3 linked regions of the Saccharomyces cerevisiae S288C genome follow. Changing the gene in region 2 together with the main gene of any one other region gives a genetic interaction. Each region holds a gene or a part of one and is shown on either strand. Other genes may lie near its edges.

The links.
Region 1: mutations in PMD1 (region 2) and ODC1 together harm fitness more than expected from each alone (negative genetic interaction), as found in Saccharomyces cerevisiae (2 studies listed by BioGRID).
Region 3: mutations in PMD1 (region 2) and YIR016W together harm fitness more than expected from each alone (negative genetic interaction), as found in Saccharomyces cerevisiae (2 studies listed by BioGRID).

Annotation. Positions count from the first base shown.
Region 1 is NC_001148.4:298,030-301,125, forward strand, and holds ODC1 (mitochondrial 2-oxodicarboxylate carrier), read right to left. Parts: upstream 1,475-3,096; coding exon 542-1,474; downstream 1-541. Other genes in the region: iron-binding protein ISU1, read left to right, coding at 1-21; gluconeogenesis transcription factor RDS2, read right to left, coding at 1,859-3,096. UniProt on the Saccharomyces cerevisiae protein: Transports C5-C7 oxodicarboxylates across the inner membranes of mitochondria. Can transport 2-oxoadipate, 2-oxoglutarate, adipate, glutarate, 2-oxopimelate, oxaloacetate, citrate and malate.
Region 2 is NC_001137.3:424,541-432,306, forward strand, and holds PMD1 (Pmd1p), read right to left. Parts: upstream 5,910-7,766; coding exon 648-5,909; downstream 1-647. UniProt on the Saccharomyces cerevisiae protein: Negatively regulates early sporulation-specific genes. Seems to exert its function by positively regulating the Ras/cAMP pathway. Required for growth under alkaline conditions. Acts synergetically with MDS3.
Region 3 is NC_001141.2:380,954-384,072, forward strand, and holds YIR016W (uncharacterized protein), read left to right. Parts: upstream 1-1,674; coding exon 1,675-2,472; downstream 2,473-3,119. Other genes in the region: VLD1 (Vld1p), read left to right, coding at 133-861; ribonuclease P protein subunit RPR2, read left to right, coding at 995-1,429; MET28 (Met28p), read right to left, coding at 2,603-3,119.

The sequences.
Region 1 (3,096 bases), on a different chromosome or scaffold from region 2:
ACTCCAACCATGTTATCGTAATGAATAAGAAGATAACCGGGACAAGAACAAGATCAAACCCTCACTAATCAACAAGTTGGACTTAATTTGTGCAAGCATGGATGTTTCTCATTAATATTGTCATATTTCTTTCCCTTAATCTAGCATTTCCTTTCTCTCCCTCTTCTCATGCATATCTTCCTAGATATATTTCTCCAGGGTGAAAGCGGGACGGACGTGCTTGTTTTACCTCACCTGGTACTACTAGTATTTTCATTACTCTTTTTTCATCCTCCCACTTCCCCCTTATATATTTGTTTTCCCATGTGTGGTATATGGCATCATTATTATATAAATATTCTTTAGTTGTAAAAGGCTGTTTTAATTAACACTATTTATCGCTAGACAAAACTAGACTTTCATTATTTCCTTCATTTCAACGCTTGTTTAAACATGTGCTAGGTAAGCGAGTTTTTTACTTTTACTTCCAATAAATATATATATATATATACGTATACATGTATGGGCGGGCTACAACAAAATGAAATAAAAAGCGTCAGGATCATTGTTTTTTACCATACTTGACTTCTCTGAAAAAATCCATGACGTTCGTGAAAACTACCAACAATAACCCACCACCGGGGGCAAGTCTCATGACCTTTGGCGCAAATCCCTTATACAATGCTTTAAACCCTTCCTCACGGTAAACTAACAGCACTGAAGGCAGGGACCAGTTGTACTTCCTCAGCGGCCCGGAACTTCTTTGGATCCTAGATTTTACCACGTCAAATGGTGTATTCAACAAGCACCCGACAGTGCCACCAATAGCACCTGCGATCAAATCATTTCTGGTCTTTTCCGTGCTTGTTTTAGCCGCCGGCAAAAGCTTCCGAATTTGGAATATTATACCGAAATAACCGGCATTCCAAAGAACGTGTCTCCAGATAGTGGCTTCCAACCCATTGAAAAGTGACAAAACACCACCTTTCACAACACTATTCTTTACAACTTCAATGGGTGTCTTGAACTGTGAATTCACATCCTGTAATCTAATCTTCACTAGTTCAAAAGGCGCGACGACAAAGGCTTCCACGGCGCCAGCGGACGCACCACTGTATATGGCGATTTTTTGAGTCATCTCCCCATTGGGCGTGGGGAAAATCTTTTTATAAAACGTTTGGAATGTATCGTTTCCGGAGAACTTAATTGCTCTTTTCGGAGCCTCCATTAATATAGGCGATGTGATACCCTTGTAAAGATGCGAAAATCCTTCCTTCTTCACAATTTTTGTAAGACAATCCATCACGCCCGTGTAGTGATCTACTGCTGCTTTCGCTGCAACAACAGCGGGATGACCTTTGGTTGTCACTTGTAATTGCATTCTTGTCTTCACCACGTCCAATGGATACATCACCAATAGCTCCGAGACGCCGGCAATGGCACCGGCTGTGAACTGGTATATGAACGGCAAAGGTCTATTATCTATAGATGTCATCTTACAGTTCTTTTTCTTTCACCCTCGTTACAGTTCTATCTTGAGAATAAATGAGATAAAGGTTCCCAAAAGTCACTGATATATATCAACGGCGGTCACCCTCACAGAAATACCCGAGAATCTGCCCTTCGCCAAATCAGATTCAGCCAGTTCGCAGTTTTTTTCCCTATCTCTGGTCGCCGCATTATGAAAAGATCCTGGGGTAATAATGGGAATGATTTGAAAAAAAACAAATGCTGGTAGAAAAAGGTCTTCGTATTGCTCGTAGTAATACGGCTATTTCAAGTAACTGCTCGGGCCAGCGGCTTGAGGAAAAAGTAAACCCGTTACTTTGCTTTTTAATGACGCTGGAAATACCAATTACCTACTATGTATTACTTATGCTTATGACAAAGGGATGAAATTCCCGACGATGCAAATTGGGATGTTGTACCTATCCCTTCTGATAGTGAAACTAAAACAGCATGGCCGTTTGCGGATTCCATCTTTGGTTCGAAGACTACAACTTGTTAAAACAGCCTTCTGACCCTTATCAAACGCTATGGACCCGTATTTTTCCCAGAAATTCACAGCGCTTTCTTCTGTCATCAACTCGTAGATCGCAAGCTTTCCATCGCGTAAATCATCGACTGTGCAGTCAACCAGTGAAGCAAACTCTTTATTGGCTCTGTAAATCTCACCGGTACGCCTACACAAGCACGCTGGCATGCTCATAGAGGTGAAAACACGATCATAAGATAATAACATCCTCTCGAAGCTCTCCTCCACTAAAACTAAGTCAACATCCTTCAATGAACGCGCAATGGTTCTAAACGCCGGTCTAATGGTGGATAGTGGTTTCAGAATCCTTTGCTTGGAAGACTGATTCATATATTTGTCCATGTAGTCTTGTAGTCTTGCATACCCCTTGGCATAATTATACGGCTTCAATAATCCTGCTTCAAGCTTCGCATTTATGACCAACTTCAGCCGGTGTTCTGGTGTCATCTCTGTTGACGGATCCGCCGCTGTTAAAAAGAATTGTTCCTTCGGTGTCGGTGCACTGTTTTCGTTTGCATTCGCTAGAATTCGAGACTCTTCCTTTTCTTGATCTTGTTTATCCCCTTTCGAGATACTATTGGAAGAACCTGACATAATAGTAGGCGACCTATTTTCTTGTCTTGCCACTCCTATTTCATCCCTACGATTGTCGTTTTGGTACTCTAATGGCGATTGTGTGGTTTGTGAGCCATTTTCCAAATGAACATTGCTCGCACTGCTGGAACTTAGTGATGTTTGAGTCAATAGAGGATTTTCTAGCATAGAAAGAAATTCATTCAAAGAACTGAATTCCGAACCAACATTCTCGGACACAAATACAGGTTGTTGCGGAAGCAGCAAGCTGGTTGTATCATTTACAAGAGAGGAGTCTAGTTTCGGTGACAGTTCCTCTCCATATGTGGATCCACTTTTATTGACTGGTTCATTCTGATAGTCAGACGGAATTCCAGTGTGTGCTTTATTTGCATATTTGCCCTGTATATTATTATCATTCGGAGAACTTTCGTGCTGTGATGGCATCTCATTTGGAACCGCAATATCATCTTCCCTGCATAAATGGGCAATATCCCTCTTGACGCACC
Region 2 (7,766 bases):
GGCACCTTGTAAGCAGTCGAGAAATTTTTTTTTCACTTTTTCCTTTTCATACCTATATAAATAGAAGTGTTCTTGTCGATTTGAAGAAGGTTTATTTCGTTTCGCTGTAGTTTTTTTGTCATTGATCTTTTCATTTTTTTATTTCAAAATCCCCATCAACTATTACAGTCGATGAGGATAGGTTATAGTTCATGTGTAACATCTGTGTTTTAAAATAACTCTAGTTATCCGGGGCGTTTTTCACAAAGTTTGTGTAAGATGCTTTCCTGGGTCGATGTGGATTGTGCCGTGGCCTTTTTCACCACCTTTATAGCGGTGCTTTAACTATTAATAACTGAGGCTGTATTTTGAATTCTTACGTAAATCTTGGAATCTATGGAGCATCCAGTCTCACCTGGGTTGGCTCTGGTAACGCATGACTTGGTATGAAAAAATTGTTTTAATTTGACGAGGAAATTTTGGCATCCGTGAAGTTCAATACTTCCTTAAGTATTGGTTTTCAAAAAAAAAAATTCTAAAATTCTAAAATTCTTCTATTATACCAAAGTTATAACGTCTATAAATATCTATAACTGAAACCTGTTTTGTCATAATACCTTGTTTTAGTTGTGCTTTTTTTTGCTTTATCTGGATATTATCTAATATGTTTATCTTCGTTTACCGAAAAAAGGAAATGGGGCAATATTATCGTTATCATTTGTAGTTGCGTCTTCTTTCCTATTTGTTCTGTTGGCAGTCGCTGATCTATCCTCACAATGCCCTTCACTCTCCTTACGTCCAGTATTCACTGCAGAAGGCATAAAGGCAGGATTCATGAATAGAGCAGATGTGGAATGTGTCGTCTGAGTACTGAATCTTTTATTCATATGTTGTCTCCGTTGTTGAGATGCAGTGAAATCTGTAACGGAAGTCCTAGGTGAGATCTGAGTGGAAGGCGCCTGTGAGAATTTGATGGACGATTTCCTGAATCCCTCCGAGATCGGGGAACTTGATGCAAATTTTAAAGCTGGTCTTGTATTTTCTTGCTGTTTTAACGGTGTCGCGACATCAGAGTGCTGCCTACTTAGAGTAGGAGAAGAAGATCCGCGTGCAAAAATTGGTTTTCCAGTCTCTCTCATTTCGTCATCCATTTGTGAAATGTCTTGTAATACCTTTTTTTTTAACTTTTTCAAGACTTTGGATAATTCGATTGCTTCCTTCGTGCGCGTCATCAAGTTACTGTCATTAACCAATACAGAAGTTCTATAAATAGACTTCATGACATAGTCGACAGGTGGTAGTGCATTGGGTGAGACCATATTTTCCAGGCTAGATATATTAACATATTCCGAACCATCTTCTCTTTGTGAATTAGGTCTAATGTATTTGGAAAATGATCCATGTAATCTTGAAGAGCCTGGAGTGCTGGATCCTATTTTATATAAAGGATCAATAGAATCATCAAATTCTTGAGATGTCTGCTCCTGTAATTTTTTATTCATTTTTGTGAAAGGCAAAATACCTAGCTGTGAATCAAGGTCATCAGAATCAGAGCGGAAGGAAGAACCTGAATCACTATCAAAACTATCACGAATAAACGGGTCTGTCTCTAAATTGGATGAGTTTTGAGGTATTTCTGTTCCTCTGTTCTTCAATGGATCATTAGTGCGGTCTAAATCTTTCCCATCGTTGCTGTTTCTCTTTTGCAACGTTTCAACCTTGTATTTATCGAAGTTCGAAATGTCCTGGAGCGTAGCTTGTTCGTTTTGTTCCTCTTTATCGTCCGAAGCTCTGTTTGACTTACTAGAGTCCAAATTTTGGTAATTATATCTCGTAGGTTCTGTGGGAACTGTTTCAGTAAAACTACTACTTCTTCTTGGAAAGTTCTGTTGCCGGCTGACTGGTCCACTATCAGGAACATCATCAGTAAATTGATCGGAGGTATCTAATGGATCTGTTTCCCTACTTAAGCTGGATTTCTTCTTCGTCGCTGGGCTAAATAAGGACACAGAGCGGCGAATATTTTGAACACCCGAATTACTGGGGAATGCAATTGAACCAATCGAATTATGGCTGTCTCTAGGACCACCGGCAAAAACAGTAGGAACAGCCCTATTGGCAAGCGATCCTATGCTAGAAATTCCCGTGTGGTGCATATCTATTTCGGTTTCTCCATTACTGTCATCCGTGTAGTGTATTGATTGCGCCATTGAAGTGTTTCGCAAAAGATATGAATCAACGTATCCGTTGTCTATATTGGCTAGGGAACGTTTTATCTCTAAGGTGTCCTGATATGATTCGCTAGAATCCAACTGCTTTCTTATTTTGCCCTCATTTTCATTGCAATATCTCGAAACCTTTTGCTGGAACAGATTTAGTAGTGCTTCGCAAGTAACTGAAAGACCTTCTTCCTTTTTGCTGATTATCTTATACAGCACTTCTGTAATCAGTTCGTATAAAATTGGAATTTCGTATATTTTAGCCATGATAAGCAGGTCCAGGGTCACAGGAGCTAATAGCCATTTGCCATTAATTTGTGCGGTGTAAAAGAACTCTGCAAATGCTCTTACAGAGGCGGTCGACCAAGGCATATACAATGATCTCGGGGTTAATAAGGGTTCTAACTCGATTATGGCGTTATTGTTCGAATTTGTACTTTCTACACTTTCAGGGTTTGAAATGTAAGAAAGTCTTCTACTCTTTTCATTATTAATATATGATTTTGAAGAAAAAAATTCACCTTCTTTGAAATTGCCGTTTATATTGATTGCATTAATGGTGGAAAAGATGGGCCTTATATTGGAAGGTGAGATACAGCCGTAGTCTTGATTGTCCCCATCTTCCTCTTCATCTCTTCCATTGTTCATGCCATATTCTTGAATACTTGCTTCGTAAGGAATGTCACTGCCATAACTATTACTTAGCAGTTGCGAATCTAGAGTATTCCTCAGCAAAGAAGAGTTAGAGATACGCCTTGCATCCGAGGAGCTCGATTTTCTGGTGGAATGAGAAGACCTTCTTGACGCGACTGGACTATCCCTACCAAATTGAACGTACTCCGCCAAGGAACTGCTTCTTCTTGAGGGTGCTTTTGGCACCGGCGGTAGTGGTTCTAGTGGGATCTTTTCTTGTGGGGGTAATGGGATATTCAACACAGGCAAGATAGGCGAGTTTGGTAAACTTGCAGAGCTTCCTAAATGAGAAATTTGGTTAGAGTTGCGCCTTCTTCCTGAAGTAGAACTTACAACAGAGGCAGTGCTGGCAGTAGATGCAAATGAAGTCTGTCGCGACTGATTTGGACTTGCTATAAACCTTAATGCGGATGATTTTCTACGTGAGAAAGCTTTTTCCGCGGGACTAGCCTTTGATATACTACTGGGTGAAGATTTGGCTATAATGTAAGATTGAAGAGGGTGTGAGGCTCTCCGAATGGATGAAAAGCCGTCATCTACCGAACTATTCGTGGTGGTTCCCACTGTGGAAGCTCGCCTATAAACTAAAGGTGTATTGGAAAGTGTACAATTGCTATCATTACCATCGTTAGTTGATTTTTTATATACCGGAGGAGGTGAAACAGAGCTTGCTCGAGTAGAGCGACCAGACTGTTCTGAAAGCCCCAGCTTTGAATTTTTCATGTCCTGAAAGGGAACCCTAAAGACCATACCTGTAGAAGAGCAAGTGGTGGATATCGGCCTTTTGTTCGAGGTGCCTGTTTCTTTCAGGCCAGTATCTCCAGTTGCATGTTGTTTTAACGTGTTTGACCGACTGTCCTCCTCATCCGCACAAAGTATCGGTTCTGAAGGAGATAGTTTATTATGCGAGATGGCTCGCTGCTTGGGTGACGATGTTGATGAAGTAAAGTCTACGCTATGTGGTTTCTTAAGACTTGTATTACTGTTCGATTTACTATTTCCGTTTTTAGAAAAGTATTTTTCTAGGGATCCGTTGGATGATTGACTAGAGTTACCAAACTTGGTAGTTTTTGAGGCTGTATGAGGTGAAAAACTTATGATATTAGAAGTGTCTCCATTAAACTCATAATTGAAAGATGTATTTGCATAGCCGTTTGATAATAGTGAATCAAAATATCTCCCCCATCTTTTTCTCAATAAATATACTGGAACACCGATAGAATCACCATCAGCAGTGATAAATTCGAAATCAGATAAAGTCTTGCCGAATATTTCTAGAGCATCTTTACCTAAAACCATAGCATATGGCGGAAATATAGAACTAGTTGATTCCATTTCTAATGGTACAGTTATATATCTGGAATAGTTCTCAAATTGTGAGGTCGCAGTCGAAGTCAAGCGGGGGATCCCTGAGTCGTCTAAGGAATATCCTTGAGTTACTGTGTATGGATTTGTGTGCTCAATCGTTGATGAATTAGAGTATGGAAGATGATCATAAAGACTTAGATTTACGTTTAAGTTATGACTATTAGCGATGCCATTATTAGTGCGTGTGTGTTTGGTATTCACTAATTTATTATAGCCGTTTAACATTGGTAAAGAGAATGATAAAATGTGATCGAATTTTTGAACGCTAGGTGAACAAAAATCATCTGTTCTGGTACCAAGTAATAAAGCTTGATGATGAGACTTCCAAATCAGAAGCTTCCAAAATCTATGCATACTAATACTGCACTCAGTACATGCTATGTTTACTCTTATCCATTTTCCACTAGCGATATTATAAATGAAACAATGAAGATTGGAAGGTTGGGGGTCTGGATAAAATCCTATTACAACAATGTTATAATTAAAGTAATTACCTGAGGGATACTGCAAGTGAAAAGGTACTTGTAAAATAGAGTTTTCTTTGTTGTTTTGTGTAGGGTTTGATGTCATCCTAGCGCCCTGAGAGTTTCCAAGTAGTGGCAAAATTACGATAGGCGACATAAGTGTTTTTACTGCGTTTTCATCTGCATCATCGCTTTCAAAATACTTAAGATCGCCATGATGGTGATGGTGATGTTTTGGTAGTTTGGATTTGTCGTCTAGATCATGAGCGTAAGTAGAGAAACTACCATCGTCGGTTCCCCTTCTGGACGTGTTTGCCTCGCGTTGAGGGTAATATAATGCCAATGTCGGAATTTCTGCCTGATTATTTTCAATCAGAACTGAGAAGTTGGAATCGTGAGATAAAGAAATTGGCATCCCATCAATATTAACCAGTATTTTTGACGACCCCTTTGAAGCTGGGTTTTCGTCCGATTTCGATTCTGACTCCCATAAACTTGTACGTAGGTTAAATATATCAATTTTTTTAACAGGAATATCCATATTATCTAACCCACCTACAATGATTAGCTTCGTATCTTGATTTTCGTTATTTTCATTTAGGACGTGCATACTATGATTAAAACGTCTTGTAATTTGAGGGTTTTCACTTATCAAAGACCAGCACTTTGTTTTAAGATCTAATTTCCATAATTCGTTTGTTGCTATCAGCTCATAGCCGTTGTGAGGCGACACCATAAGCCCACCGAAAATGTAAATGTTGGATTCTGTGAAGCACATCGAATGAAACAATCTCTCTTTAAAGCTTAAGCCGTTATTCAACTCATTTTCTGATGTAGTATCTATTGTAGTATTTATTCTTTGCCATGTTCTGGAAATTAAATCAAGGAAAAATATCTCAGGGCTTATCCAATCAGCTAATGTTTTAAAATCAGCATTTCTATCCTTCTGTTTACCAAAATATAGAATTAGCTCCTTTTGCAGTTGTAATGAATTTATAATAGTCAGATTTAAAGGTAGTGTGAGCCCACCATGGACAAAAACACCTGAACGGGCTAGTTCTACTGCAGCTCCAGTTCTGCATTCCAAAGTGAGCTTCTTCCTTGTTGCTTCATCCAGATTGGGATTCGGTACAATAGGGAGGTTGAGCGGATAACAAACACTAGATGGTGGTTGTAATACGGTCATTTTTAAAAACTTTATGCTTTCACCTAATTATAGAAACGCGTACTAATGTTTTTTGTTATTGAAGAAACTGGAAATGACTAAAGAATACTCAGGCAACGATGAGCATAGCCAAAAAAAAAAAAAAATTTGTTAAAAGTGATACTGGTAACTTTAATACAATATCCAAAGTTTATGATATCAAGTTGGAAACGGTGTCGATGTGGACTTTGTTAGAGGTTAATCTGTATTTGTGACTGGGCTCTGCCAAACTTACTATCTTCTATTATCTAGGCTCAAGTAAGTAAGATGAAAAAAAGAAAAAGAAAAAAAAGCAGAAAAAAAGCAGAAAAAACAGTAAAGTGGGTGTGAGTGCACTGGAAAGCCTGTGTAATAAGTTTTTGATGTACTGTATTCCTTGCGAGTATTATCACAAAGCTCTACTGTGTTTGCACTGTGGGCGTATAGGGATATCGCGAGGGCAACGCAAAACTAGCAAGATACACATATTCCATACATTAAAGCGGTAATTTTTAGTAGTTAATTTCGAAATTTCAAACCCGGCAATGATACGCACATTAAGAAAAGGGAAAAAAAAAAGAATAAATTGGCCATAGAAAAATTCTGTTATCCACTAGACAGAAGTTTGCGTTCCATACTGTCAGAGGTGGCATTTTACATAACAATAGTGACAAAAAATAAATTTCAGAAGGAAGGCAACATAAGTTTTTCTAATCCTAAAATCTTTCGATTTTGTATCAGAGATTGTTCACGCTAATGTCATTCATCATAGTAGATCATTTATCTTTCACTGCGGAGAAGTTTCGAACGCCGAAACATGCGCACCAACTTTCACTTCTACAGCGTTTGACCAAAATCTTTTGAACAGAACATTGTAGGGTGTGAAAAAATGCGCACCTTTACCGCTAGCCCAAGAGGGCACTACAAAATCTAGAGTTGTACTTCAAACGTACATGTAATCACCTTGTATATACTCGAAAGAAAACATCAAGTTTCTGTATAAATATGAGTGAAAGCATAATCATACATTATCTTTTCAAAGATGAAGAGTGGGTGAATTTTGAGATAATTGTTGGGATTCCATTTTTAATAAGGCAATAATATTAGGTATGTAGAAAGTACTAGAAGTTCTCCTCGAGGATTTAGGAATCCATAAAAGGGAATCTGCAATTCTACACAATTCTATAAATATTATTATCATCATTTTATATGTTAATATTCATTGATCCTATTACATTATCAATCCTTGCGTTTCAGCTTCCACTAATTTAGATGACTATTTCTCATCATTTGCGTCATCTTCTAACACCGTATATGATAATATACTAGTAACGTAAATACTAGTTAGTAGATGATAGTTGATTTTTACTCCAACAAAAGAATTACAGTCAGTGGCTGTTTGCTGACATTTCATTGCTTCCCTTACAACCTGATTTCCATTCGAGTTGAAAGGTTGAGAAAAATTGCAAGACTTCTCTCTCATCTACCTTCCCCTTTTCTTGAAGACAAGGTGAGAGACAATTTAGTACTAAAGCTTTTGCGGTTGTTATTCAATTGAGGTAGATACCTGGCAAAACATTTCTTGTGAGCACAACCTCAATTAAAGTTAGACAAGTAGGTGCACTATTGGTTGCTTGTTGGCTCATCTCGTTGAGGAATGTAATAACTACTTGTTATTAACCTGTTTTTGTGCCATCTATAGTGGAGAGCTTATTGCAATTTGTTTTTTATTTCTTGACTGCATATATCAGTCTTTGACAGGCTGCATGGGGATGACAGTTAGAAACTAGCCAAATTACCCCTTATGTAGATAACAATCATTGCTTATTCGCTCTTCCCCCATTTTTTTTCTTGCTCTTG
Region 3 (3,119 bases), on a different chromosome or scaffold from region 2:
ACTTTAAACCGGGTAATATAAACTTCTCATATGGCTTTTCTCCAGGGAAAGAAAGGGAAGGGATACTTCAATGACGAAGGCTTAGATGACAAGCTAATACAGAAAGGGAAAGGAGCAGGGCATCGGAAGGAAATGTTGCATTTGGAAGATGACAATGGACGACAAAGGTCAGTGATAGCGAATTTGCAGAAATTCGTTTATTGCTGCCTGTACTTGAGGTTTATCAAAGATGGATCATTATTCTTGATCCTCCTGGGGTGGATAATTTCATCGCTCTGTGATTTCATTCAGGAATTGACACTCAGGTACCTGAAGAAGAACTATTTAGAGGTGGGCCGCGACAATGATCAGGAAGATGATGAAAGTCTTGCCATCAGAGGGTTAGAAACACCTATTGTAAGAATGATAATAAACAAAGCCATACGATATTACCAAGGCCTAATACTTCTAGAAACAGCGTACTGTATAGTATACCACATTAGGCTAGACGTATCGAGAGACATATGTTCCAAACCGTACGGATTTGTGATAATGCTTTTGATAAGGGAATTTACTTGTCCGGTACCCACAGCGTTTCCTAGCAAGCTACTTCTGGTACTACTCGATATTTTATTACTTTTCTGCCAGATTGTAATAATAAACGGCTCACTGAGCTCGAGTCTTCAGAACGTGAAACTTATTGTCAAGGAGTTGAATGCAGAAGAAGAGGGCGCACTCAACATTCTCAAACTTAATACCTGGCACATGGATGCAACCGGACCGGAACTCATAGTACTCAAGAATCATGACAAGTCGATTCCTCAACAGGCAGACGGGGATGACGCTACAGAGATCACTCCTCTACTGAATATCGCCGAATAAATTCAAGAAAGGAAAAGAAAAAAAATTACCAAAATGAAAAGAACGGAAAAAAAAGATGAACAGAAAATAAAACAATACGTGGTTCTTCTACTGTCCTTCCCACATCGCCGACAGAGAAAAGACAAGCAAAAAGATGGGCAAGAAAGCACACGGAGGAAAGATGAAACCTGAGATCGACGAAAATGGTACTCTGCTAGTACCGCCACCAAGGACGATTGCGAACCAGGACCATTTCCATAGATTAAACTACCTCTACCAAATATCCGCTTACCAAACAAGAGCAAGACAGAAAGCAAGAACAGACGCACATACGCCTTTGGCACGCAATTATATCAAATCAATGGACCTAATTAGTAAGAAAACCAAGACATCACTGCTTCCTACGATAAAGAGAACAATTTGTAAAAAATGCCATCGGTTGTTATGGACCCCAAAAAAACTGGAAATCACATCCGACGGAGCGCTTTCGGTAATGTGTGGGTGCGGTACCGTTAAACGTTTTAATATTGGCGCCGATCCTAATTACAGGACCTACTCGGAGCGGGAGGGTAATCTACTAAATTCTTAGGGTTATTGGTAGGGTTTTGGACCAATGTTTTGAGCAGGACAAAAATGCGGAGTTTCCAGATTTTCTTTAAGAGCCGACCCCCCACCCCCTTGCCCCTATACATGGGGTACGTGCCTGTATTTTGAGGGAAAACTACGACATAAAACACAGGGAAAAAAACGAGACGCCCGTTTGAAGAAGGTAATGTAGGATTCCGTCTTGCCAGCATAGCGGATAAACACCGCAAGGAGGTGTTGTGGTCGGTAATGAGTGGCACGAGGTGTTTGCTAGGCGTCGGACTACCAGTTGATGTGACTGCTACGGAAACTTTGACTCATGATGAACAAGGACCAGGTGTAGAGCCAGGACCGTGTTCGCGAGGAAGTTCTATAGATGGTCTGCTGCCCTCGTTGCTCGGTCCACATGATGATGTGGATGACGATTCGGCGGCTTTTCACAAGTACATGACACTATCGCGAGATGGCGCAGGCGCCATCCATGCTCCGTCATTAGTCGAAGACGCCTCAAGGAACGACGACGACGACGATGATGAAGACGACGACGACAGTTCCATGTCGCGAGACCTATCCAAGGCTCTAGATATGTCATCGTCATCATCGTCCAGCCCGCGCGTTCAAAGTCGGCGGCACCGTAGTTCTGTGAGCGCAATATCTGCAATCTTACACCAAGGAAAATCTGGCCGCGAAGACATAACTGGAAGCCTTAGCGTTCCGGCAGAACAAGAAAAACTCAGTTTTCTTGCCAAAGCCTCGAGTATTTTCTTTCGAAGGAACAGTATGCCCAGAGACAAACATACGCATTCAGTATGTCCCGCTAGCCGCCCAGATTCCGAGAGATTTATCGTCACATCTGCAGCCGCGCAGTCTTTACGCCGCCAACAACAACTGGAAGACGCTCAGTACGCTCGAGTTATTACAAACTTTCGTACTATAGGATGGTGCTCTCCCAGCGAGATAGAGTCTGTGGAATATAAACGGTCCTTGATCAATGCGGAGTGGGACGAAAAGATCTCGCTTTTGTCTCACGCGCAATGCTATAAATAATAAATATACATATATATATATTTATATGTAGATAGATGTGTGTATATATATGCTAGGTAAAGAAACGGAAAAATCGAAAAATCGAAGTTGGAGAGGAAAAACAAGACATCAGGCCCGCACGTTTCGCGGGCTACCTGCCCATGTTCCGTCTCTTAATGTCATTCAACAATTTCAAAGACTTAATCTCGTTAATGTCATTGAGCTTTGCTTTCCAAAACTCATTTTCCTTGTTCAATTGCTCTATACGATCGCGAAGTTTGTTGATTTGCGTGTTTAAGTTCTGCAGCTTATTCATGTTCTCAAAATTCTTTTGTTTCTTGCGAATGCGGAACCGCTGCGACGCCTCTGTGTTCTTTCTTCTCCGCTCTTGCTTAATCTTATCCAGTTCGTTAGAAGTGCTCACGGGAGCTTCCTCTTCTTTTACAACAACTGCTGTTGTTGCGGCAACCTTCCCCTTTCTCGGCTCGCGGAGCTTCTTAAACTGCGAGACATCCTGGCCATTATTTATCATGCTAATGAGCTCCTCCGCGTTGCCACTGCTAACCAGCAGCAATGATAGCAAGCGCGAGCCCAGCTCTGAATCGCTTGATATCAGGTTCTGTAGATGTTCCGAAAGATTGTTCACGTTCATACCCTTCCTGCTTGCA